Linked DNA regions of Callithrix jacchus. The protein of the gene in region 2 purifies or fractionates together with the protein of the main gene of each other region. This does not show direct contact. Links are inferred from orthologs where the notes say so. Each region holds a gene or a part of one and is shown on either strand. Other genes may lie near its edges. The genes, in order: DUSP9, MAPK3 and DUSP6.

Region 1 (7,224 bases), on a different chromosome or scaffold from region 2:
CCTCCAGAAAAGGGTTGAGCATCTAACCGCCCCTTCGAGGCTCATCTTGGGGTACCCCGAGGCCGCAGCGGTCTACCTCCATACCCCCTTTCTGCTCCTCTTTCTCGGCCTGCCCGCGATCGCTCCCCAAGTTCCAGCTTCCGACTTTGCTGGGTGGGGGTGTGAGTGTGAGGGGTGCTTTTCAAGACCCAGATCTCCCCCACGGCCAGGTGGGCCAGGGAAACAGGCGGAGCAGAGGTGCTGGGCCTCAGCGAGTCCTCTCAGAGGTGACCTAGCCCCGGTCACCATCTCCCCCCACCCTCAGGAGAGAACAAAAGGAGAGAGACCTGGAGCGCGATCCGGCGGTAGGCGACTGCGCGTGGACGTTCTGGCCACGGCCACTGCCACGGCGGAACGCGGTGCGCCGTCCCGGGGCAGGGAGTCCCTAGGCCCGGCCGCTAGGAGAAGGCGGGGCGGCGGTGCAGGCTCGCACGTGGAAGCCGAGCAGCTTCCTGGCAGCTGGACCCAGCTTCCACCTTGGAGACAGCCTTGGGACGTGGAGTTACAACTCCGAGGGGCGGGCCGGGGCGGGGCTGCGGGGGCGGGCCTGGGCGCCGGTGAGCCAACGGGTGCTAGCCGAAGGAAGCAGTCGGGTGGGACCTGCGAGTCGGCTGAGCTGGGGCTTCCACCGAGGCGGGACGGGGTCGGGGCAGAGGCCAAGGGCAGGTCAGGGGCCCAGCAGGGGACCAGCTGCGGCTCCCCTGGCCGGCGCCAGCCTGGCCTCGGGAGGCAGGGGGAGGGGTGGGGACAAGAGCCCAGCCCCCCTGTCGCAGAAGCTGCCTTCAACTCAACTCACTCGGTGATACTGGACCATCTTCTCCCCTGCCTGGATCTCAGTGGCACCATCTCTGTAATGGACTTATAGCTACCAGCTTGGCCAAAGGTGGGATGCCACTGAAATCGCCCAGGGGAGGAGGAAGCAGGATCAGAAACTTTCTGCAGCTTTGGCCCAGAGCACCTCCCACCCCAGCAGGCTTCACTCACACAGCACTGGCCAAAAGTACCCAGGAGCCCTGAGCTCCCAGCCCTAAACTGATCCTAAGAGTGACCCCTGGCTCTCCCCTTGGCTGATCAAAGTGGAGAGAAGTAGTTTCCAGCTAAATCTCTCTCACATCCATGCCTCTGTCCCCTGTCCCCTATCCTAGCCAAGGGCTCAAATTCATCAGCTCTAGGCCAGGTCACTGTCACGTCTTGCACAACAGTCTCCCAGCCTCCAGGCCTGCAACGACCTGCCCTCCACCCTGCCCTGCCCTGCCCAATGTCAGAATGCCATCCACTCAACCAAGGCTGGTGGCCTCCATCCTTTCCTCCATGGGCACAATAGGCAGGGCAGATCCATAGGCAGCCAGGGCACTGCACAAGGTCTCAGGTGTGGTGAGCGCTGAGATAGGAGACCAGGTCAGGGGGAGGTGTCCACAACACTGGTCTGGCTAAAAGTCCCTTTTCTGCTTAAAGCCCAACAAAAGCAAATAACAGTGTTGAAGGAAAATGTACAATAGATAAGATAAAGCTCATACCCAACCAAAAGGTTAAGACCCCTGTAGATAAATGGGCAAAGAACCTGAAAACACTGCACACTGCAGGAAGGAGGGAATGCGGCGGCCTTACAAATATTTGGGGGAAGGTTCAAGCTCAGGCGTGGAAGGAAAGCAACTCCAAAAAACAAGTAACAATGACCAACGAGGTAACACTTTCCACCTTCTGTGCTAGAAATGTCCTCATGTTTGAGAACACCCAGTGCCGGCAAAATTGCTGTGAAATCAACGTGCTGTTCAACGGTTGCAGGGTATATATTGGCATAGCCCTTTTGGAAATTAATCTGGCAATATCAAGAGCTAGGAAAAAATCCCAACCCTTTGACCACTTTGGGGAATCTAAGGAACTAAAGTAAAAGAAATCAAAGTTACACACATTCTCTAAGGAGTGGAAAATGGAAAGCGCACTGCGAGTCCCACAGTGGGAATCATTACGGAGTCAGAGGAGCAAATGTCTGAGGTCACGGTTACGGAAGAGGGCAGGTGATGGAAAGCTGGGAGTGGGGTGGGTGAGTGTGAGGGGTGCCGTTCGAGGCCTAGATCTTCCCCACGGCCAGATGGAGATCTCTAAGGGGCTTCCAGTTTCCCCTCCCCCTCCCTTCTGGGCAGTGGGCTGCTAGCCGGGACTCCCAGGACCCTGGCACTGGGCTGCTGTCTGGCCACACCTCCATGTCCCTGTCTCTAAGATGAGTCCTAATTCCTGCATCCAGGGGCTTTGGGCAGCTGGACTGTGCCCTTCCTTCTCCTCTTGCCCAGTGGGCATGGGCCCCAGCCCAGGCCTCCCTCCTATGCCCCCTGCCCAGGTTCTGAGATTCTGCTTCTTTCTGTAGGTCCCCTCGTCCAGGCAGCCCTCCCAACTCGGAGCCAGTAGTCTCCCTCCTTTGTGCTCCCCAGTGTGGTCACTTTCCCCCTTTCTCAGTGTGTTCCTGGGGCAGGAACTTTGTCTTCTCCCTCCTCCTATCTCAGCCTAGTCCCACAGTGGTGGAGGTGTACACTGGTGCCCAGCCCGGGGGCTGCCTCCAGGCCCACTGCAGCTGTGGGTGGGAGCTCAGAGTGGCCAGGGGTTGAAGGCACCACCGAGGTTCTGCCATGTGCCAGTCTGGTTGTGGCTAGTAGGGGTGGCACAGGGCTGTGAGCAGCCGGGAGCTGGACAGCGGTGTTCCCCGCTCCTGTGCCTGGGGGCTCAGTCTGGCTGGAGAGGGAGCTCCTGAGGTGCTTAGGCCACTCTGGAGAGGGCTCCCTGGAGGTGAGAGGAGCTGGGCTAGGATGAGGATGAAGAGAGGCAGCCTCCGAAATGGTGAAGGGAGGGGAAGCCCGGGATCCAAGAGTCCCTGGCTCCCGACCGGGCGAGGGGCTCCCTGAACCTAACTGCGGAGCCGTGCTGGCAAGCCTTCCCATCCGGAGAAAGAATTTAGGAGGGGGCCATAAGGGGCTCATGAGGAGGCCATGAGGGGCTCAATCTCCAAAGTCAGAGCTGAGAGTTCAGGGCCCACAGCGCCCGCAGCGCCAGCAACAGGACAAACGGGAACCTGTTGCGGCCTCCGCACTGCAGGGCTGAGCGCAGCCAACCTCCTAACCCCCTCTAACGGCGACCCTCGCCTGACTGCCCCCACTCAGGCCCCCAGCAGCGCCAGCTCTGGGCGCCGCCGAGCCCCGCAGCCACTCCCGGGTGGGCCGTGCAGGGAGAGGCCGCGTCGCGCGCCCGGGCCTCTCCTGGCCCCCTCCGGCGGGCGGAGCCAGGCCGCGCGCTCGCTGCTCGTCGCAGGGTGGGCGCTGCGCCCGCCTACCCCGCCCCCGCCCCTGCCGGGCGCCCCGGGCCTCCGCCCGGCCGGGCCAGCGCCCCCTGGAGGCCGCGAGGAAGCCGCCGTCTGCAGGCCTCGCGCGTGCCGAGTGCGCCCTCTGGTCCCGGGGGCCTCCCGAGAGCGGCGCCGCGCCGCCTTCCCACCCCGAAATGCACCATTCCCGCCGGGCCGAGTGGCAGGATTTCGGCTGTCGCGGCCGGGTCACATGGCCAAGAGCACAAGTCCCAGAGACAGCGTGTCTGCCAAATCCAGTGTCTTTTCCATCAAATCCACTTTCTGCTGGGGATGGTCGGTCTCCTCGCGGGACTGGGAGTTCCTCCAAGGCAGGAACGTGTGTGTGCCCGGCCCCAAGCTGGCCCCAGCCCCCAGTGCAGGGCCTGGCACGCGCCCGGCGCTCGCGGAAGAAATGCTCGTTAACAAAGAAGGCATGAATGAATGAAACCAATTGTTGCCTGAGGGAGCTGCTCCTGCTTTTCCTTCTGCCGATTACACACTCCTCCCCCACCCCGACACGCATAAGCACACGTGCACATACAGCTCTCCCCGTAACACACACACAGGCCGGCACCCAGACAGCGCGCGCGGACTCCAGCCCGCATGGAACCCACCTACTACGGGCTGGTCGGGCAGCTGGCGCCCCTTTGGTCCCACCTGGGACGCCTCCATTTCAGCGGCGGGCGCTCTCTGCCTCCACCCCGCCCCTCCCCCCGGCCCCTTGCCTCCGCATCTAAGTACCCTACCTTGCACCCCAAGTGCCTTCTTTATCTCTTAGGGAAGAGGCCAAGTCAGTCGCTGGGGAGTCTCAAGGTCTGTTTAGGGAGGCACCTGGGGAGCCGAAGGCTGATGAGACGCTGCCGAAGGAGAGCCAGAGGTGCCTGGCAGGGATGCCACCAAATGCTGCAGCCTCTAGAGCCCGCGTGCCAGGTGTTGGGAGGGAGGGACTCAGAGATGTGCTGGGGGTGTCGAAGGCTATTTGTGATGGGGGCGGGGTAGGGTGCTGGAGAGCGTGAATCCAGCAGGTGTGCGCGCGTGCTGGGGCGGATGAGAGTGCGCGCTGGAGATGCTGGAGGTGTGTGCCTGGGACGTGGGGAGTATCGGCCGCTGGGATGTGGATTTGTGATGGGACCTCGCTCCCGGGTGGGTGGACTGCAGTGTCTCTGGGCTGGGCACCTGGGTGGGGTGTCTGTCATGGGATATGGGGAGTTCAAGGTGGCAAGAGCATGGTAGGGGGAGCTATGTTAGTGCAGGTATCGCAGAGATGTGTTGGAAGCGTGCGTGTGCGCCTGGGTGTGTACTGGGGCGTGGCAGGGTCTCGGTGGGTTGGCATGAGTTGGGGACAGTGGTGAGTAGTGGTACAGGGGATGCTAGTGTGTGCATTACAGGGACCCGGCTCTGTGATGCGTGGTTTGTGTGCGCGCGAGTGTGCAGCCGGTCTAAGTGGCAGTGGACACGGGAGGTGCACGGGAGGGGTGCACGGGTGTGCGGCGGCAGCACCCAATGGGTCTCCTAGGGGCGCGTGCGCCGGCTTCGTGGGGAGTGCCTTGTCAGGACTTTGGGGGTGTGGGGTGGAGGAGGGGGTGCACGTAGGGGGGGTCAGCCAGGCCGGGTGGGGTGGGGTGGGGGTCCCCAGGACGTCGTGTGCTCCACTCACCTCTGCTCCGCTCGGTTCTCTGAGCCTGTTCCCTGCGTCGCGGCCGGGAAGTTTCTGAAGCTCGGTCGGCGGGAAGCGCCACTGCTGCCGCCGAACGCCACCGGAACCCCGGGCGGCGGCCTTGCCAGGAGCTGAGGGGCAGCCGCCGGCGCTGCGGAGGGAAACTCCAAATCCCGCCCCCGCCGCCGCCGCCGCCGCCACCGCCTCCTCCGCCTCCGCCTCCTCCGCCTCCGCCACCGCCTCCTCCCCTCCCATCGCCGTCTTCTCCGCCCCCTGCCCAGGAGGGGCAATGTAGCTGGCGGCGCGCAGGGAGGGAGCGGGGAGGGGCCGCGGCCTTCCCGGCGTCTCCCTCCACCTCCCACGCCCCCGCCCGCCTTCCTCCCACCTGCAAGCTTCTGCCCTCTCCGCCCGTCCTGCACGACGCGCCCTGCGCTTCCCGGTCCCCAATGGTGCTACTGAGTGGGGACTTCGGAGCTTGGAGCGCCGGAGTGGGGTTGGGGGCCCTGAACTAGGCTGGGCCTGGGCTAGGGGGACGGTTGCTCCGCAGAATCTGCACTGGCACCCCAGCCAAGGGGCCCCCTGCAGTGTCTCCTCTTATTCTCATATGTCAGATTCTGGCTACTAGTAATAGCATTTGAGCCTCAGTGCCTGGAAGGGGTGGAGCCAGGATGTTGAGGGAGGGGCTGGGAGCAAGTAGGGAGCGGGTGTTGTCACCAGGTCCCGTTAGCTTTCTCCTTTGTACCACAGGTCACACCCATTGGCACCAAGGACCTCATTTTATCCTTACAGCAGTTCTGGAAGTCTGAGGAGATTGTCCCCATGTTACAGCCCGGGAAACTGAGGCCGTGGCTCCCTGGTGGTGGCACGATAGTGTAGTGGCAAAGTAGGATGGGGCTCGGGCTGGCTGAGTTCAGAAGCCTAGAGCCTGAACGAGCGTGAGTGCGGAAGATTGCATGGGGAGGGGAGGGGAGGCAGCCGTCCGAGGTGTGCACCTGGCCTTTCTGGGGCTCCCAGGCCAGCGGTGCATGAGCCTGGCCTCCTGCCTGCAGTGGAGGAGAGGTTGAGATCCAGCAGGAGGATATGAGCGCAGAATAAGGTGCGGCAGGGAGGGCTGGGGTGCCAGCAGCTCCACTGGCTGCCTGGCTGTGTCTGCGGCAGCGCTGAATTCCCCTGAGTCATTACCCCTGGAAGAGACAAGGGCAGCAGCTTTGCCTCTGGAGCCCAGTCCCTGCCCCATCTCTGGGTCTCCATTTCCTGGTCTGTACTTTTGGGGAGAGAGGTGGGATCATGTGATTTCCAAGGGCCCTCCTATCTGTGCAGTTTCAAGCCATGGTGAGTGAGCTGGGAGGGTCCTGCTGTTGCCAGCCAGGCCTGTCCGCCCTGCTCTGGGCCCGACTGCAGCAGAGTCCCTCCTGGAAGGAGGCCACTGGCCCTGCAACCCTGTCCCTGCTCTGGACTCTGGGCCTCGTGGGGCTGCACTGGGGCTCTCCCCTACAGCCTTGGGGGGCCAGGCTGCCCAGGACCTGCCACGAAGGCGAGCATATGCAGCCACCGCTGGTGCCTGTGCTGCTCGATGTGCTGAAGTTATGGGACCTTTCCTAAGAAATCCATATACCACAGAAGCTGTGCCCTAAAAACAGGGGGCTGGCTTTCACATTCCCCCCTCCACCGAGGGCGCCTCCTGTTTGGAGAGGACGTAGGACAGCTGTGCCCGTGGCCTGGGTGCTCAGCTGATCACCAAAGGCTTGGTGGGTGAGCTGACTCAGAGGAGTTTCTAGTAAGCTTGGGGTTGCCATGCTTTAGTGACTCAGGGCTGAGAGGCTGGGGAGAAACATTTGGATTGAATAATCCGCCCTCGTCTCTGCACAGCTCCCACTCCAGCCCTCCCAGTGTCTCTGCTCTCCACGCAACGAGACCATCCGTTGCTGGAGAAGGAGCATACAAAGACCAGGCCTGCTCCGAGTTGCCTCAGGAAATAGCGGTCCCCTCTTCATCCCCAGGGCTGGAGAATAAAATGCAGAACACTCCCAAAGAGGAGTTGAGTGAGTGAAAGTTTGCTTCGCAGAACCGAGGGCACAGCTGGGCCTCTGACTCCAAAGCAGCTGGGTCCATCTGTTGCTGATGGGAGTGACGGGGCGCCCCAGCCTTCTCCCTTTCCTCTGCGCCCCTCACCCTCCATTCCACCTGAACACCAAAG
Region 2 (7,224 bases):
GTTCAAGAGTTCCTTCCGCCTCGGCCTCCCAAAGTGCTGGAAATTACAGGTGCAAGCATGAAATAATGGTTCTTTCGAGGGTGGCTGTAAAGACTAGATGAGGTGGCGCATGTAAAGCTGTCAGCCCAGCGCCTGGCAAGTTGTGAGTGCTAAAGAAACGTGAACTATTATTACTAATATCAAGGCCTGAGTCACAGGGACGCCGCGGGAGTTAAATGAGATAATGGATGAACACCATCTGGCATGCAATAGATGTTTGCTTAAAAATAAATGCCTGCCTTATGGGAATGGTTTGTGCAAGAAAAACGAGGAGACACTCCCAACAGCACACTCCCACTCAAAGAAGAGTGCTTGGCCATACCTCAGAAGATGGAGGAGTAAAATGTCTTTTTCCATTTGAAGCTAAAACAAAGACTGTGAGTAAATAAATAAATAAATCCACAAATGTCGTTTGGCTTGTGTCTGGAAAAATAAGTCAGGTCTGTCTTTTAGAATCTGCCTTGAGGCCAGGCGCTGTGGCTCACACCTGTAATCTAGTACTTTGGGAGGCCAAGGTGGGTTGGTGATCTGAGGTCAGGAGTTCGAGGCCAGCCTGCCGACATGGTGAAATCTCTACTAAAAATATAAAATTAGCCGGGTGTGGTGGTGCACACCTGTAGTCCCAGTTACTTGGAAGGCTGAGGCAGAATTACTTGAACCTGGGAAGTGGATGTTGCAGTGATTGGAGATCTAGCCACCGCACTCCAGCCTGGGCAACAGAGCGGGGGGGGGGGGGGGGGGGGGGGGAGGGGGGGTCTGCCTTGAAGAAGTCTTCAGAGAACATCTGGACCAGCCCTGCTGTTTTAGAGCTGGGGAGGCCCAGTGAGATGCAGTGACTTGCTTCAGATGACACAGCGAGCTGGGGCTGAACGCGGAGATTTCCTGTCCACAGTTTGTGGTGGGGGCTATAGACACCAGAGTACAAATCCCCTCTCTTGGGTGGAGTGCTGGGACCGAGAGTGATTGGGTGTGGCAGGGAAGAGGTGACAGGTGTCACAAGTTGCTAACAAAAGAGCCAGCCAGGAAGTGGACAGCAAACCAGGAAAGCAATATCAGGGGAGGAGACCAAGGCTAGGTTGTCTCCTCCCTGGGCAAAGTGCAAGTCCACAGGTGATTAGGGTGCTGCTTGGAGTGAGAAGTCCTAGAGGAAGGACAACTTCCCATCTGGGGGAGGGGAGGAGGAGACAGCAAGAGAAACACTTGATTTTAGGTTTTCTGGGTCTTAGCTTCCTCATTTTTTTTTTTTTTTTTGAGACAGGGTCATTCTCTGTCCCCCAGGCTGGAGTACAGTAGCACAATCACAGCCCACTGCAGCCTCTAACTCCTGAGCTCAAGCCATTCTCCTGCCTCAGCCTCCCAAGTAGCTGGGACTACAATTGTGCACCACCAAACCTGGTTAATTTTTAAATTTTCTGTAGAGATGGGGTCTCACTATGCTGCCCAGGCTGGTCTTGAACTCCTGGTCTCCAGCAATCTTCCAGTCTTGGCCTCCCAAAGTGTTGGGACTACAGACGTGAGCCATTGCTCTCCACCCCTCATCTTTGAAATGGAGCTGAAGGCCGGATGCAGTGGCTCATGCCTGTAATCCCAGCACTTTGGGAGGCCAAGGCGGGTGGATCACAAGGTCAAGAGATTGAGACCATCCTGGTCAACATGTTGAAACCCCGTCTCTACTAAAAATACAAAAATTAGCTGGGCATGGTGGTGCGCACCCGTAGTCCCAGCTACTCGGGAGGCTGAGGCAGGAGAATTGCTTGAACCCAGGAGGCAGAGGTTGCGGTGAGCTGAGATCGTGCCATTGCACTCCAACCTGGGTAACAAGAGTGAAACTCCGTCTCAAAAAAAAAAAAAAAAAAAAAATGGAGCTGAAAAACCCATCTCATAGGATAGCTGGAAGGTGTAATAGCAAAATAAATAAATAAAGCACTGGGCATATATAGTACCTGACCCACAATAGGCCCTCAAGAAAGGTAGTTTTTTTGTTTTTTTTGAGACAGAGTCTTGCTCTGTCACCCAGTCTGGGATGTAATGCCATGATCTTGGCTCACTGTCCACCTCCTGGGTTCAAGTGATTCTCCTACCCCTGCCTCCAGAGTAGCTGGCCCGGCTATATATATTTTTTTTTTCTGTATTTTTAGTAGAGATGGGGTTTTACAATGTTACCATGTTGGCCAGGCTGGTCTCCAACTCCTGACCTCAAGTAATCCACCTGCCTTGGCCTCCCAAAGTGCTGGAATTACAGGCGTGAGCCACTGCACCCGGCTGACAGCTTTCTTTCTCCCTGTCTCCCTTCCAGTCTGGGGAAAGAGAAAAGAGAGAAAAGAATCGTCCATTTGTTATCAAGAAGTGACTGTGGGCTGTGGCCGGGTCATGTCTCAGAACTGCAGATGTCAGAAGACAACACTCCCATAGAGACCATCCTGCCCAGCTCTCCCCCTGGGGCACAGAGCAGAGAACCGACTTGCTCAAGGCCATACTGCCCGGCTGCCACAGGCCTGGATTCATCAGAGGCCTCCAAGTCCTGTTACACTGTGGCCTCTCCTCTGCAGGAAAGTTTATTTTACTGGGTTTTTTTTGGAGGATGGTGGGGAAGATGGAAACAGAAAGCAAGTGATGGTTCCCCAGCCCAGCTCGGAGGCCATGAAGGCCAAGGTGAAGGATACACATCCCTCATGGCTTCCAGGGTGGACGCCCGAAGAATGTCTCGGATGCCGATGACATTCTCATGGCGAAAGCGCAGCAGGATCTGGATCTCCCGGAGCGTGCGCTGGCAGTAGGTCTGATGCTCGAAGGGGCTGATCTTCTTGATGGCCACTCGAGTCTTGCGCACGTGGTCATAGGCCGAGCTGAGGGGACCAGAGAGAGGCTGCTGCTGTGGCCTTACAAAGTGGGAGTCCAGGCCTGGTGGCCCCACCCAGGCCTTGGCAGGGAGGGGAGGGAGCAGGAGCTGGCTCTGGCCAATTCATAAACAATGCTGGTTCCTTCCTGCTGTGGAGGCCTGGGATCTCTAGAGAGAAAGCTGGGGACCAGCCAGGCGCCCCTGCGGTGACTTTACAAACAGAGGAAGAGACTGACCACTCACTGACTTCCCCTCTCCTCAATCCCCTTTCATTCTAGTGGCCCTGAACCCTTCACCCCACTTCCCAGGAAAGGCTCCTTAACCCAAGACAGGTCCAGGGGTGCAGATGCTGGGACCACACCATGGGGCAAACACAGTGGGAAAGCAGCAGCCAGGGAATGGACAGGGCAGGGGAGGGTCCCAGAGTGAGGGGCCCAGGCAGCCAGGCTGTCCCAGAGCACATGGAGGGGCGGGGGGCACTCACAGACCCCTCCCAAAACATGCAGGTGGCACTCCTGGCCCCTTCATCCCTCACTGAGCCCCTGGTGGTGGTGGGAAGGGAGGGCCAAAGCCCTGCCACACCCTGATCTCTGTTCTTCTCCCCCAGGCTTCCAAGCACTGCCTCACAGGGAATCCAAGACACCCTTTCCCCCAGAACGACCCTCCACTGCCCCTTCACTAAGGATGTCGCCTCCCCGAGAGTACTCATCCTCTGGGCCTTGCCCCGTGTCTCTAGGGTCCCGGCAGTCCCCCACATGCACTCAGATGCCCCTCCCGTCATTACGGAGTGCTGGACTCAAAGCTCCAAGCCCCCTCCTCTGAGGACGTAGCAGCGACCCCTCCCCCAGAAAGCATTCAGGGACCCCTCCCTGGGACGCTCCCGATCATCCCGAGTCCCCGGCCTCCTCGGGACGCTCCGCGTCTCCACGTCCTGGAAAGCGCTCGGCGCCTCCCCCTCCTCTCCCGCGAAGCCCCCTCCCCCGAGGGCGCCCCCTCCCCCGGAACGCCCCCTCACCTGACCATGCCGTAAGCGCCCTCGCCGATGTACTGCAGCTGCGTGTAGCGCGGGCCCACGTCGAACGGCTGCCCCTTCACCATTTCCACTTCCCCCGGGACCCCCGGGCCGACCCCCTCGGCTCTCCGGGGCTCCCCGCCCCCGCCCCCCTGAGCCGCCGCCGCCGCCGCCGCCGCCATCTCCACTCCTCCCCTCCCGCCGCCCTCCTCCCCTCAGCGGCCCCGCCCGAGGCCCCGCCCCTTCCCGCCCGCCTGTCACCCGCGGGGCCGCGCGCGCCAGGCCCCGCCCCCGCCCCGCCCCCGCGCGCCCCCGACCCCAGGCGGGCCCGGGGCTGTCACGTGAGCCGCCCTGCGCGCGCCTGCCCTTCCAGCCCTAGGTGCGCGGGCCTTGGATCCCTGCTGGTTCCGTGGCCTCCAGGCCACGGGAAGGCTCAGCAGCGCGGCCTCGGAGATCGTCTTCACCCTCTCCTCGATGATGAAGCGGCCAGCGCGTGACCTCCCAGAGCCAGCCAGCCAATGTGTGCGGGAGCCCACCAGAACCTGGGCCCGGGATCACCCTAGATCAAAAAAATGTTCGAATAAATGAATCAAATTTTACAGATCGGCAATCTGTGAGTTGGGTTAACTAACTTGGGTAAGGTCCCTAGTAATGACAGACGTGAGACTCAAAATGATGTCTTTTGACACAGAGGCTCTTTATAATTCCATGCCTCTCAAAATCCTATACTGTTTTTTTCTTTTAGAGACAGGGTCTCGCTCTGTCGTCCAGGCTGGAGTGTAGTGGTGCAATCATAGCTCACTGCAGCCTCGAGTGATTGGGGTCAAGCGATCCTTCAACCTCAGCCTCCCGAAGAGCCGGGACTACGAGTGGACAACACCATGCCCTGCTAATTAAAAAATTTTGGGGGGTTCCGGCACGGTAGCTCACGCCTATAATCCCAGCACTTTGAGAGGCCGAGTTGGGCGGATAACTTGAGGTCAGGAGTTTCAGACCGGCCTGGCCAACGTGGTGAAACCCGTGTCTACTAAACATACAAAAATTATTGGGGCCTGATGGTGGGCGCCTGTAATCCCAGCTACTCAGTAGGTGGAGGCAGGAGAATTGCTTGAACCCAGGAGGCAGAGGTTGCAGCAGTGAGCCAAGATCGCCCACTGCACTCCAGCCTGGGTGACAAAGCAAGGCGATTCCATCTCAAAAAAAAAGAAAAGAAAATATGTTTTTTTGGTGGGTAGAGACTGGGTCTTGCTATGTTGCCCAGGCTGGTCTGAAACTCTGACTTCAAGGAATCCTCCCACCTTGGCCTCCCAAAGCTCTGGGATCACACCTGTCCATCTCAGACTATTACAACTGAAGAAAGGGCCCTCCGAGACCATCCAGTCCACCCCCCTCTTTCACATCGAAGATGTGAGCTGCAAGCTTTACAAAAACACACAGCTCCCAGGCTTCAGTAAGTAATCATGTTGTGGGTTCTTTTGTTGTTTTTTTTTGTCCCTGAGAAGCTGGGAGTAGGTCCTTGATGCATTACAGATCAAGAGACAAAATGGAACAGTAATTATGATTCTGAAATCGCTTATAATTAGATCCACAGCCAGGCAGTCTCACTCAGATTAAGGAGACTGAGTTTCTGATTCCCAGTAGCCCATAGGTCAGTAAAGGTTCAAGAGGTGCTAATTAGATCAATGAGTTTTTTTAGTTATTCATTTGATAAACCATTGCATGGCCCTGTGTGCAAAGCTCTGAGCTAGGTACTGGGGCTGATAAAGGATTACTGGATAGTATGAATCTGTGCTTAAGAGTAAAAACACCCTGGAGCCTGATTGCCTGGACTAGAATCTCATCTTTCAAGTTCAAGTTGAATGAGGAATAAGAAAAAGAAGAAAAAATGAATCACGTCTTTGCCACTCACTTAACTTGTGTTACCCTTGGCAAATTACCTACTGTCTTCTAGTAGAGGCCTCCACTCTATTGAAGAGAGAAAATATGTAAATCAATTTAGATCCCAGTGCAGTGACTCACTTTCAGTGCTCTGTTTAGGAGGCCGAGGCAGGAGGATCACTTGAGCCCGGGGAATTGGAGTCTGCAGTGAGCTATGATTGCACCACTGCACTCCAGTCAGGGTGAGAGTGAGAAACCTGTCTCTACTTCTTTCTTTTTTCCTCCCTTTTAATAATACTGATACCTTGTCTTTAAAATAATAAATACACAGGCCAGGTGTGGTGGCTCACACTGGTAATCCGAGCACTTTGAGAGTCGGAGGCAGGAGGAGCCCTTGAGACCAGGAGTTTGAGACTACCCTGGGCAACATAGGAAGACTCCGTCTATGCAAAAAAAGACAAAAATTAGCTGTGCGTGGTGGTGCGTGCCTGTGGTCCTGGCTACTCCAGAGGTAGGAGACTCGCTTGAGCCCAGGAGGTCAAGGCTGCTGTGAGCTATGATTGCACCACAGCACATCATCCTGGGCAACAGAGGGAGACACTGTCTCTATAATAAAAAAAGTAAAGAAAAGCAAAAGTAGGTTGGGTGCGGTGGTTCATGCCTGTAATCCCAGCCCTTTAGGAGGCCGAGGCAGGTGGATCACAAGGTCAGGAATTCAAGATCAGCCTAGCCAACACGGTGAAACCCTGTCTCTACTAAAAATACAAAAATTAGCTGGGCATGGTGGCACATACCTGTAATCCCAGCTACTCAGGAGGCTAAGGCAGGAGAATTGCTTAACCTGGGACCTGGGAGGAGGAGGTTGCAGTGAGCCAAGATTGCGCCACTGCCCTCCAGCCTGGGCTACAGAGCAAGACTCTGTCTCCAAAAAAAAAAAGAAAAGTAAAGTAAAAGTAGGTCGGTTGCAGTGGCTCATGCCTGTAATCCCAGCACTTTGGGAGGCTGAGGCAGGCAGATCGCCTGAGGTCAGGAGTTCATGACCAGCCTGACCAACATGGTGAAACCCCATCTCTACTAAAAATACAGAAATTAGCCGGGCGTTTGGTGACATGTGCCTGTAATCCCAGCTACTTGGGAGGCTGAGGCAGGAGAATCACTTGAACCCAAGAGGTGGAGGTTGTGGTAAGCTGAGATCATGCCACTGCACTCCAGCCTGGGCAACAGAGCAAAACTCCGTCTCAAAAGCAAGAAACAAAAAAGCAAAAAGAAGAAAAGAAAAAGTAGGGTTGCAGAAGGTCGGGACTGAAGAAAGCCATGATGGAGAAGGATCGGGGTGAGCCGAGGTACAGAGGCAAAGCATGATTTGTCCAGCGTGGCTGCAGTGAAAAAATGATGGGGGTTCAGGCTGGAGAGGTAGATTGCACCAGATTGAGGAAGGCTCTGGATTCTGGCAAGG
Region 3 (7,224 bases), on a different chromosome or scaffold from region 2:
TGCAGGAATGAAGCGGTCATATTTTAAAAGTCATCTTCTGAATACCGACTTCATGCCCTACACATCTCATGTGTCATCTCAGTTGTCTCTAATCCTCACAGTCCTTTGAGGGAGGAATATATATCCCCAATTTTAAACATTTCTGAATTCCTTTTCTTGCTTTGTTTTTCTGGTGTAGCACTTTCACTTTCTAATATATAATTATTAATTTTGTTTATTGGATTGTCCTCATTAGAATGTAAACTTCAGTGAGGCAGGTTATTCTTGTCTGTTTATTCACTGATGGTTTCCTGGAATCTAGACTAAATGAGTGAATGAATGATGTGAGACCCAACTGACTAGTGAGTGGCAGAGGTTTGAACCCAGGCCTAGTGCTATGCTGACACACTAGATGAGCAACGGTACTTGTGAAAATTAGGATCTAGGGCATACTCTAAGGGAGAGAGAATATGCAACATTTACTGAATGGTTGACTGATGAAGAGTTGCTTGCAAAGAAACCCACTGATGTGTTAAAGGAGCTGGGAAAGCAGCCTAACTTTTGATCTTTGACCCCATCCGTGGGGAGGAGGCAACAGAAAACGTGAGGCTGGAGAAAGCCAGAAAGTCAAAATTCAAAATGCTGACCTTGAAATTCTTCACATTTGGGCAGGGAATACCACATGGAGATGAGTATAGTATCCACAGCACTCTGTAATCCGTGTATGTGGGTATCCTTAAGAGTCTGCAAAGGGGTTGGATGCATGTCTTGACACTTTCCGTTGCTACTGTGTGACCCTGGGCAAATTCCTTAATCTTTGTAAATGGGGATAATTTACATGGGTTTTCTGAAGACTGTCCGAAATTATGCACGTAAACACAGAAACAAGATGGTACCTATCATGCCCAGTACACACTGTTGTATCTATTTTATCAGTTTGCTGTGGCTGGTGAACAAGGTGTTTCAAAGGTGACCGTAGGGAGAAGTTAGAAATGTAGCTGGGTCCATTCTGATAACCTTGCTAAAGAATTTTGATCCTGGTCTATAAGAACACCTCCTTTGCTTGACAGCTGTATTAGAACGGATTAAATCGGTTAGGGTAGTACCTTAGAGGGCTTTGCTGCAGATGAGCCAGTCCAGGCGTGCTGTGAGGCAAGCCTCAAAGGGCATCTGTGGAATGCCAAAACCATCCCCCCAACCGAGGCCTTTTCACAGGTTCTCAATTCAGAAGGATAAAAAATTAACTCAAATCAGCTAATAGCACCCCATCACCATTTTAGGACATTTCACCCTACCCATTTTGTCGTCACAGGGAACATGAAGCAGACAGTTTTATATTAATTATGCCGACGTGGAAGACTGCAACTTACAACCGCTAGATGATTTAACTAAGGGCGCACACCTAGATAGAAGCTGGATACATAATTCAAACGACGGTCGTCTCACTCCAGAAGCCCTTTACGCAGCATTTCTAGGACTGAGCGGTCAGAACGTCACTTTAATCAATATGCCAGGAAAGACTGGCATTCCCCTGGCGAAAGAGTTCAGAAGCATGGGTAAAACTAGTTTCGATGTGTCCTCCTGAATCTATAGTCATATTCAGGTAGCTGCACTTTTAAAACAGGCAAAGTGGAAACCCAGCTTCCCTCCTTTTCTCTTCTGTTGGAGGTCCTGGGCTGCACCTCCAACAGGTTTGTTCTTCCCAGTTCCGCTTCAGGACACCCTGCCTCTTCCCTCACTGTCCCCAGGTCCCAATGACTGAAACGTCTTGGTATGGGAACTTCTGTGACAGATCGGGGAGGACAGGGGGAGTCAACTCCAGCGCAGGCCTCCCCCGGCTGAAAACTAGAAGATATCCAGTGAAATACAGGAGTTTAGTTCCAAGGGCTGCCCAAAAAAGGTGCGGAGAGGAGAGCGGCAATCTCCACCTTCGTCGAACACGCTCCTCCCGGGGCGGCCTGCCTGCAGCAGAGCTCCAAAATTGGCAACCCGGGCCTCGCAGCCGCCTTTTTTTAGCCTACATTTCCCAAACCAGGGAAGAGGCGGCTGACTAAAAATGCAAATTGCAGCAGGGGCGTCAGCAGGCATGCCCGTGGGTGCGGGGCGTCGGGCGAGGGGAGACCCCGCGACCTTAGGCGCCCTCGCGGTGCTGGGTGGGCGCAAAGCGCTGCGAGGGACGCTACCCAAAGCCGCACCCCGCCGGGAGGCTGCCCCGCTTCCGCCTCCCAGGCAGCGGCGGGACAAAGCGCGGCCTCTTTTCCGCCGGGGTTTAGGGAGGGGATGCCGGATTAGGGCCCGCGCCTTCCGGCCGCAGCCCTCCCGCTCCAAGCCGGCCGCTCGCAGGTGGTTTTCCGCTCGGGAGGGTCAGGCCTCGGCACTTTTATATAACAATAGAGCTGTGCGCGCCGGGAACGCGCCTCCCCGCCGCCGCGGCCCCCACCCGGCCACGCCTCCATCCGGCTTCCAGTCCATCCGCCCCGCGGCGCCTGAGTCAAGCGCCGCGAGCTGGCCTGGCCAGCACCTCCGCAAGTTACCTGCTGGCTCTGTAGGGCGGTAGGGACGTTCCCCGCGACTCCTTGAGAGCCAAGGGCCGGGGGGGGGGGGTCCCGGCAGGCACTCGTCCTTGCTCCCCCCACCACCCGCCCCAGATCTCTATGGAACCCGGAGTTCCCCGCTCAGCCCCGCACCCGTCCACTGGATCGCGCAAAGCCTCGTGCCTGCCAAGTGGGGAGACGGGGGCAGCGGGGCGGTGGCAGGGAGCGCAGCGCGCAGGCGCGGCTGGTGCTCTAGGGAGTGCCAGGCGCTGGACAAAGGGAGGAGGCGGCGGCAGGAGGGGGCTGGGGAGGCCCCCTCTGGCATGCCTCCCTGCCAACTGTAACCAATAGCGGACCCCCCCCCCCCCCCGCTGAGCCCCCGGAGCCTACAGACCTTGCGGGAGGACTTCCCCACGCCTCGCCAATGGCGGGGACTACCGGCCCGGCCCTGCGTGTCCCAGCACACTTCATCCAGGCAGTCCCGCCAGACCGGCTCCTCCGTCAGAAGCCGAGCTCCTTGCCCAGAAATCATTAACCAACGCGACCCCCCAGCAGGCGGTGATGGTGGTGGGGTCGGGGGAAGAGATTTAGATCTCCAGAACAATGGCTCGTAACTCCCCACGCCGCTGGAGCGGAATACAGTAAAAGTACTGGACTGCCCTAAGAGTTTGTTTCTGTATTCCACATTGTTTTAAAGAAGATAAAATGCTACTTTAAGAAAAAAGGTTTTCTTCTGATTTTCTGGACAACCAAACATTTGTTTGCTTTAAAATGTTTCAACAGAATCCCGGCTTGTTTCGAAAGATGTTGGATTAGCATTTAACACCTCATCGGTCACTAAAGCCCCGTCAGTTCACCAGCCCCAACACAGTCTCGGCTAAAAGAACATCAGAGCAAACAGAGCTGGGGCTTTAAAGCTGGCAAACAAATACCACACACCGCCTAGAGAAGGGGGGTTGGGGCGAGGAGGATTAAAGCGAACTTGGGTCCAAATGAGTTAGAAGGGGATACAAAGAACAAAAAGTCAGCGCAAGTTTTCCTAAAGCTAGCTCCGGAACGCAAGCGTCGCGAACAAGGGCTTTTGTGCATGCTAATTGCGCCATTGGTGCGCAAAAGTTCCGACGCGAAGTGTGAACTCTCAACAGAAGGAAACATGAGACAACTGAAGTGCCCTGGCTTATGTGCCCTGCTCCTCCTCTGCTGCCGCCTCCCCTTCTTTCTCCTTCCTCCCGCCGAGCCCGCTGTTGCAGCTTGTTTGCACTGGGGCTTATCCGGAGCGGAAATTCCTTTCCGTTTTTGTGAATGACAAACTCATTAACAATTCATCAACACAACCTGTTCCAGCCGGCCCGTCCCCACGGCAACAGCCCCTTCCGCAGCTCGCTCATTGGCTGGCCCGGAGAATGTATCCATTGAGACGCTCGCTGTTTGTATCCATTGAGGAGCTGCCTCGCACTGGGGGTGTGCGAGGCTGAGTCCCAGGGATAGTGAGCAAATCGAGTCTTAAATAATCCGAGGAGAAAGACGCCCGGGTAGATTTGAGGTGCAGCCTTGGAGGGAGGGATTAGGAGCCGCTAGACATTTTTTTCCTTCCCTCTCAGTAACACGGAGTCCGAATTAATTGGATTTCATTCACTGGGGAGGAACAAAACTGTCTGGGCAGCTTCATTGAGAGAGATTCATTGACACCAAGAGCCAGCGGCTGCAGCCGGGTGCAGAGAGAACCTCTGGCTTCACTTCTGTCTCGTTTTCCCCAATCGCCAGCCTCGGCTTGGGTGAGGCGAGGCGGACTTAAACCCCGCTCTGAGAGCGGCAGCTTCGCGCGCGGTGCGCTCGGCCTATGCCTGCCCCGAGGGGCGTCTGGTAGGCACCTCGCCCTCTCCCGCAGCTCGACCCCCATGATAGATACGCTCAGACCCGTGCCCTTCGCGTCGGAAATGGCGATCAGCAAGACGGTGGCGTGGCTCAACGAGCAGCTGGAGCTGGGCAACGAGCGGCTGCTGCTGATGGACTGCCGGCCGCAGGAGCTGTACGAGTCGTCGCACATCGAGTCGGCCATCAACGTGGCCATCCCGGGCATCATGCTGCGGCGCCTGCAGAAGGGCAACCTGCCCGTGCGCGCGCTCTTTACGCGCGGCGAGGACCGGGACCGCTTCACCCGGCGCTGCGGCACCGACACAGTAGTGCTCTACGACGAGAGCAGCAGCGACTGGAACGAGAATACGGGCGGCGAGTCGGTACTGGGGCTGCTGCTCAAGAAGCTCAAGGACGAGGGCTGCCGGGCGTTCTACCTGGAAGGTACGCGCCCGGGGAACTCAGCTTGCGGGACAGGGCGCAGGGCTGCGGGCCGGGCGCGTGGACTAAAAATGCCTCTGCCGCTGGCGCTTCAGAGCCGCGCAGCTTGCCCAGGGGCCGGCAGCGGCGAGGTAGGGGCCGCGACCCGCGCGTTCCGCACCGGAGAACCGGGCAGGGGCAGAATCCACCCGCTTCCGGCCGCGGTTACCGGCCGTTTCTTTCTAACGGGTTCTGAGCCCTTCTTACCCAGAACATCCTCTACCATCACCCTGTTTTCTATCGTTCGATTTTGAATTAAGATTTGCAGGACCGGAGAGGTTGTTGGGGGTGCAGATTGGCACATCCTAGTTTCTCAAAATATTCCCAAAAGTTGCCATTTTGTATATTTCCGGATTTAAACGAATAAGGGTTCCCTGGCGAGGCGGGCCCGTTCGTTCCATTCCCAAGGGTGCACATTTAAAGTGTGTTTCTCTTATTATGTATGTCGGGGGGGTTTGTAGGGTGCTTGTGGTGTTTCTTACGCCGGGGTGGTTCTTACAAGCTGTGAAAACTACTACGACTTCTCGGGTTACACGATTGCTTTTCTCGTTCTGGCAGGTGGCTTCAGTAAGTTCCAAGCCGAGTTCGCCCTGCATTGCGAGACCAATCTAGACGGTTCGTGTAGCAGCAGCTCGCCGCCGTTACCAGTGCTGGGGCTCGGGGGCCTGCGTATCAGCTCTGACTCTTCCTCGGACATTGAGTCTGACCTTGACCGAGACCCCAATAGTGCAACAGACTCGGATGGTAGCCCACTGTCCAACAGCCAGCCTTCCTTCCCAGTGGAGATCTTGCCCTTCCTCTACTTGGGCTGTGCCAAAGACTCCACCAACTTGGACGTGTTGGAGGAATTCGGCATCAAATACATCTTGAATGTCACCCCCAATTTGCCGAATCTCTTTGAAAACGCAGGAGAGTTTAAATACAAGCAAATCCCCATCTCGGATCACTGGAGCCAAAACCTGTCCCAGTTTTTCCCTGAGGCCATTTCTTTCATAGGTGAGACTAATTAGTAGTCGTTGCTCTGACATTTAAATGCAAAATTCCCAGCCATTCATAGAGTTTAAGCTGTTAATCGTTCTTTCTGCTTGCTAATTTGTCAGACTAAAGGTCTCTAATGTTTCTAGAGCGTCCTTAATTCTGTATTATTTTCTTGCTAAGGGAAGAAAACCTGCCTTTTGACATGGATGCAGATCACCTATTTGAAATGCTGTTTCTTGAATCTTTGAATTCAGTCATTTGACGGGGGTTGGGATCGTTCATAATTGGAAAACAGATTTTTCCCACAGTCTTTGGACTCAGGGGAAGGGTCAAATAGAAGTACTCACTATACACAGGAATTCCAGCATTGCTTTATAATTTAAAAACCTAGGAGTTATATTAGGACGTCAAGTTAGTTGTTGGAAAGCAGTATGAATGCTGAGTGTTACCCAGTTGAATGATACTGTGATACTGGTAACAGTGAGACAGTGGGTAACCTGAGCCCAGCAGGAAGAACTGTGGGCTGGAAGCCTGGGAGAAGTGAATCTCTAGGCATTGTAATGCACTTCCTATTACAAAGGAACTCATTTTCAAGCCATGTCGACATCCTGTTCCTCCTAATGGGCTGTCCCCTGTGACTTCCCTCTCTCTTTTAAAATGCCTGAATACCTCCATTGTTAACTGCACAACATTTGGAGAATAATTTAATAGACCCTTGCAGTCTGCTTGTCTGTATAAAAGGCATTCACGAACATATTGCAGGGTTTCTGGTATTCACATGCTGAGGCAAAGAATGCACCCATTAAGGAGTTTTTTGTTGGCAGAAACTTAATACAAAAGCTCTCTTTTTAGAAAACATCTGAAATATGTAATTGTGTCCACTGTACATGTTTTATTTCAGTGATACATTTTCCATTGCCCGTATGGCTCAACAGCCACACACAATTATTATTATTATTAAAGTTCAGTTTTTAGACTGATCATTCACAAAGTATATTTTCAATACACTGAGATCTTGCTTTTCTTTTTGTGTTCACAGATGAAGCCCGGGGCAAGAACTGTGGTGTCTTGGTACATTGCTTGGCTGGCATTAGCCGCTCAGTCACTGTGACTGTGGCTTACCTTATGCAGAAGCTCAATCTGTCGATGAATGATGCCTATGACATTGTCAAGATGAAGAAATCCAACATATCCCCTAACTTCAACTTCATGGGTCAGCTGCTGGACTTTGAGAGGACGCTGGGACTCAGTAGCCCCTGTGACAACCGGGTTCCAGCACAGCAGCTGTATTTTACCACCCCTTCCAACCAGAATGTCTACCAGGTGGACTCCCTGCAATCCACGTGAAAGACCCCACACCCCTCCTTGCTGGAATGTGTCTGGTCCTTCAGCAGTTTCT

Evidence for each region.
Region 1: the proteins of MAPK3 (region 2) and DUSP9 purify together in Homo sapiens (affinity purification with mass spectrometry; 4 studies listed by BioGRID and IntAct, with this or other methods). This does not show direct contact. The link is inferred for Callithrix jacchus from reciprocal best matches to the Homo sapiens genes MAPK3 and DUSP9.
Region 3: the proteins of MAPK3 (region 2) and DUSP6 purify together in Homo sapiens (affinity purification with mass spectrometry; 7 studies listed by BioGRID and IntAct, with this or other methods). This does not show direct contact. The link is inferred for Callithrix jacchus from reciprocal best matches to the Homo sapiens genes MAPK3 and DUSP6.

The regions. Positions count from the first base shown.
Region 1 is NC_133524.1:149,566,750-149,573,973, reverse strand, and holds the start of DUSP9 (dual specificity protein phosphatase 9), read right to left. Parts: upstream 5,203-7,224; 5' UTR 5,028-5,202; intron 4,321-5,027; exon of another isoform or gene 4,117-4,320; intron 519-4,116; exon of another isoform or gene 327-518; intron 1-326. UniProt on the Homo sapiens protein: Inactivates MAP kinases. Has a specificity for the ERK family.
Region 2 is NC_133513.1:29,403,782-29,411,005, reverse strand, and holds the start of MAPK3 (mitogen-activated protein kinase 3), read right to left. Parts: upstream 4,108-7,224; 5' UTR 4,073-4,107; coding exon 3,894-4,072; intron 2,886-3,893; coding exon 2,703-2,885; intron 1-2,702.
Region 3 is NC_133510.1:91,812,415-91,819,638, forward strand, and holds the start of DUSP6 (dual specificity protein phosphatase 6), read left to right. Parts: upstream 1-3,945; 5' UTR 3,946-4,411; coding exon 4,412-4,811; intron 4,812-5,405; coding exon 5,406-5,843; intron 5,844-6,864; coding exon 6,865-7,172; 3' UTR 7,173-7,224. UniProt on the Homo sapiens protein: Dual specificity protein phosphatase, which mediates dephosphorylation and inactivation of MAP kinases. Has a specificity for the ERK family. Plays an important role in alleviating chronic postoperative pain.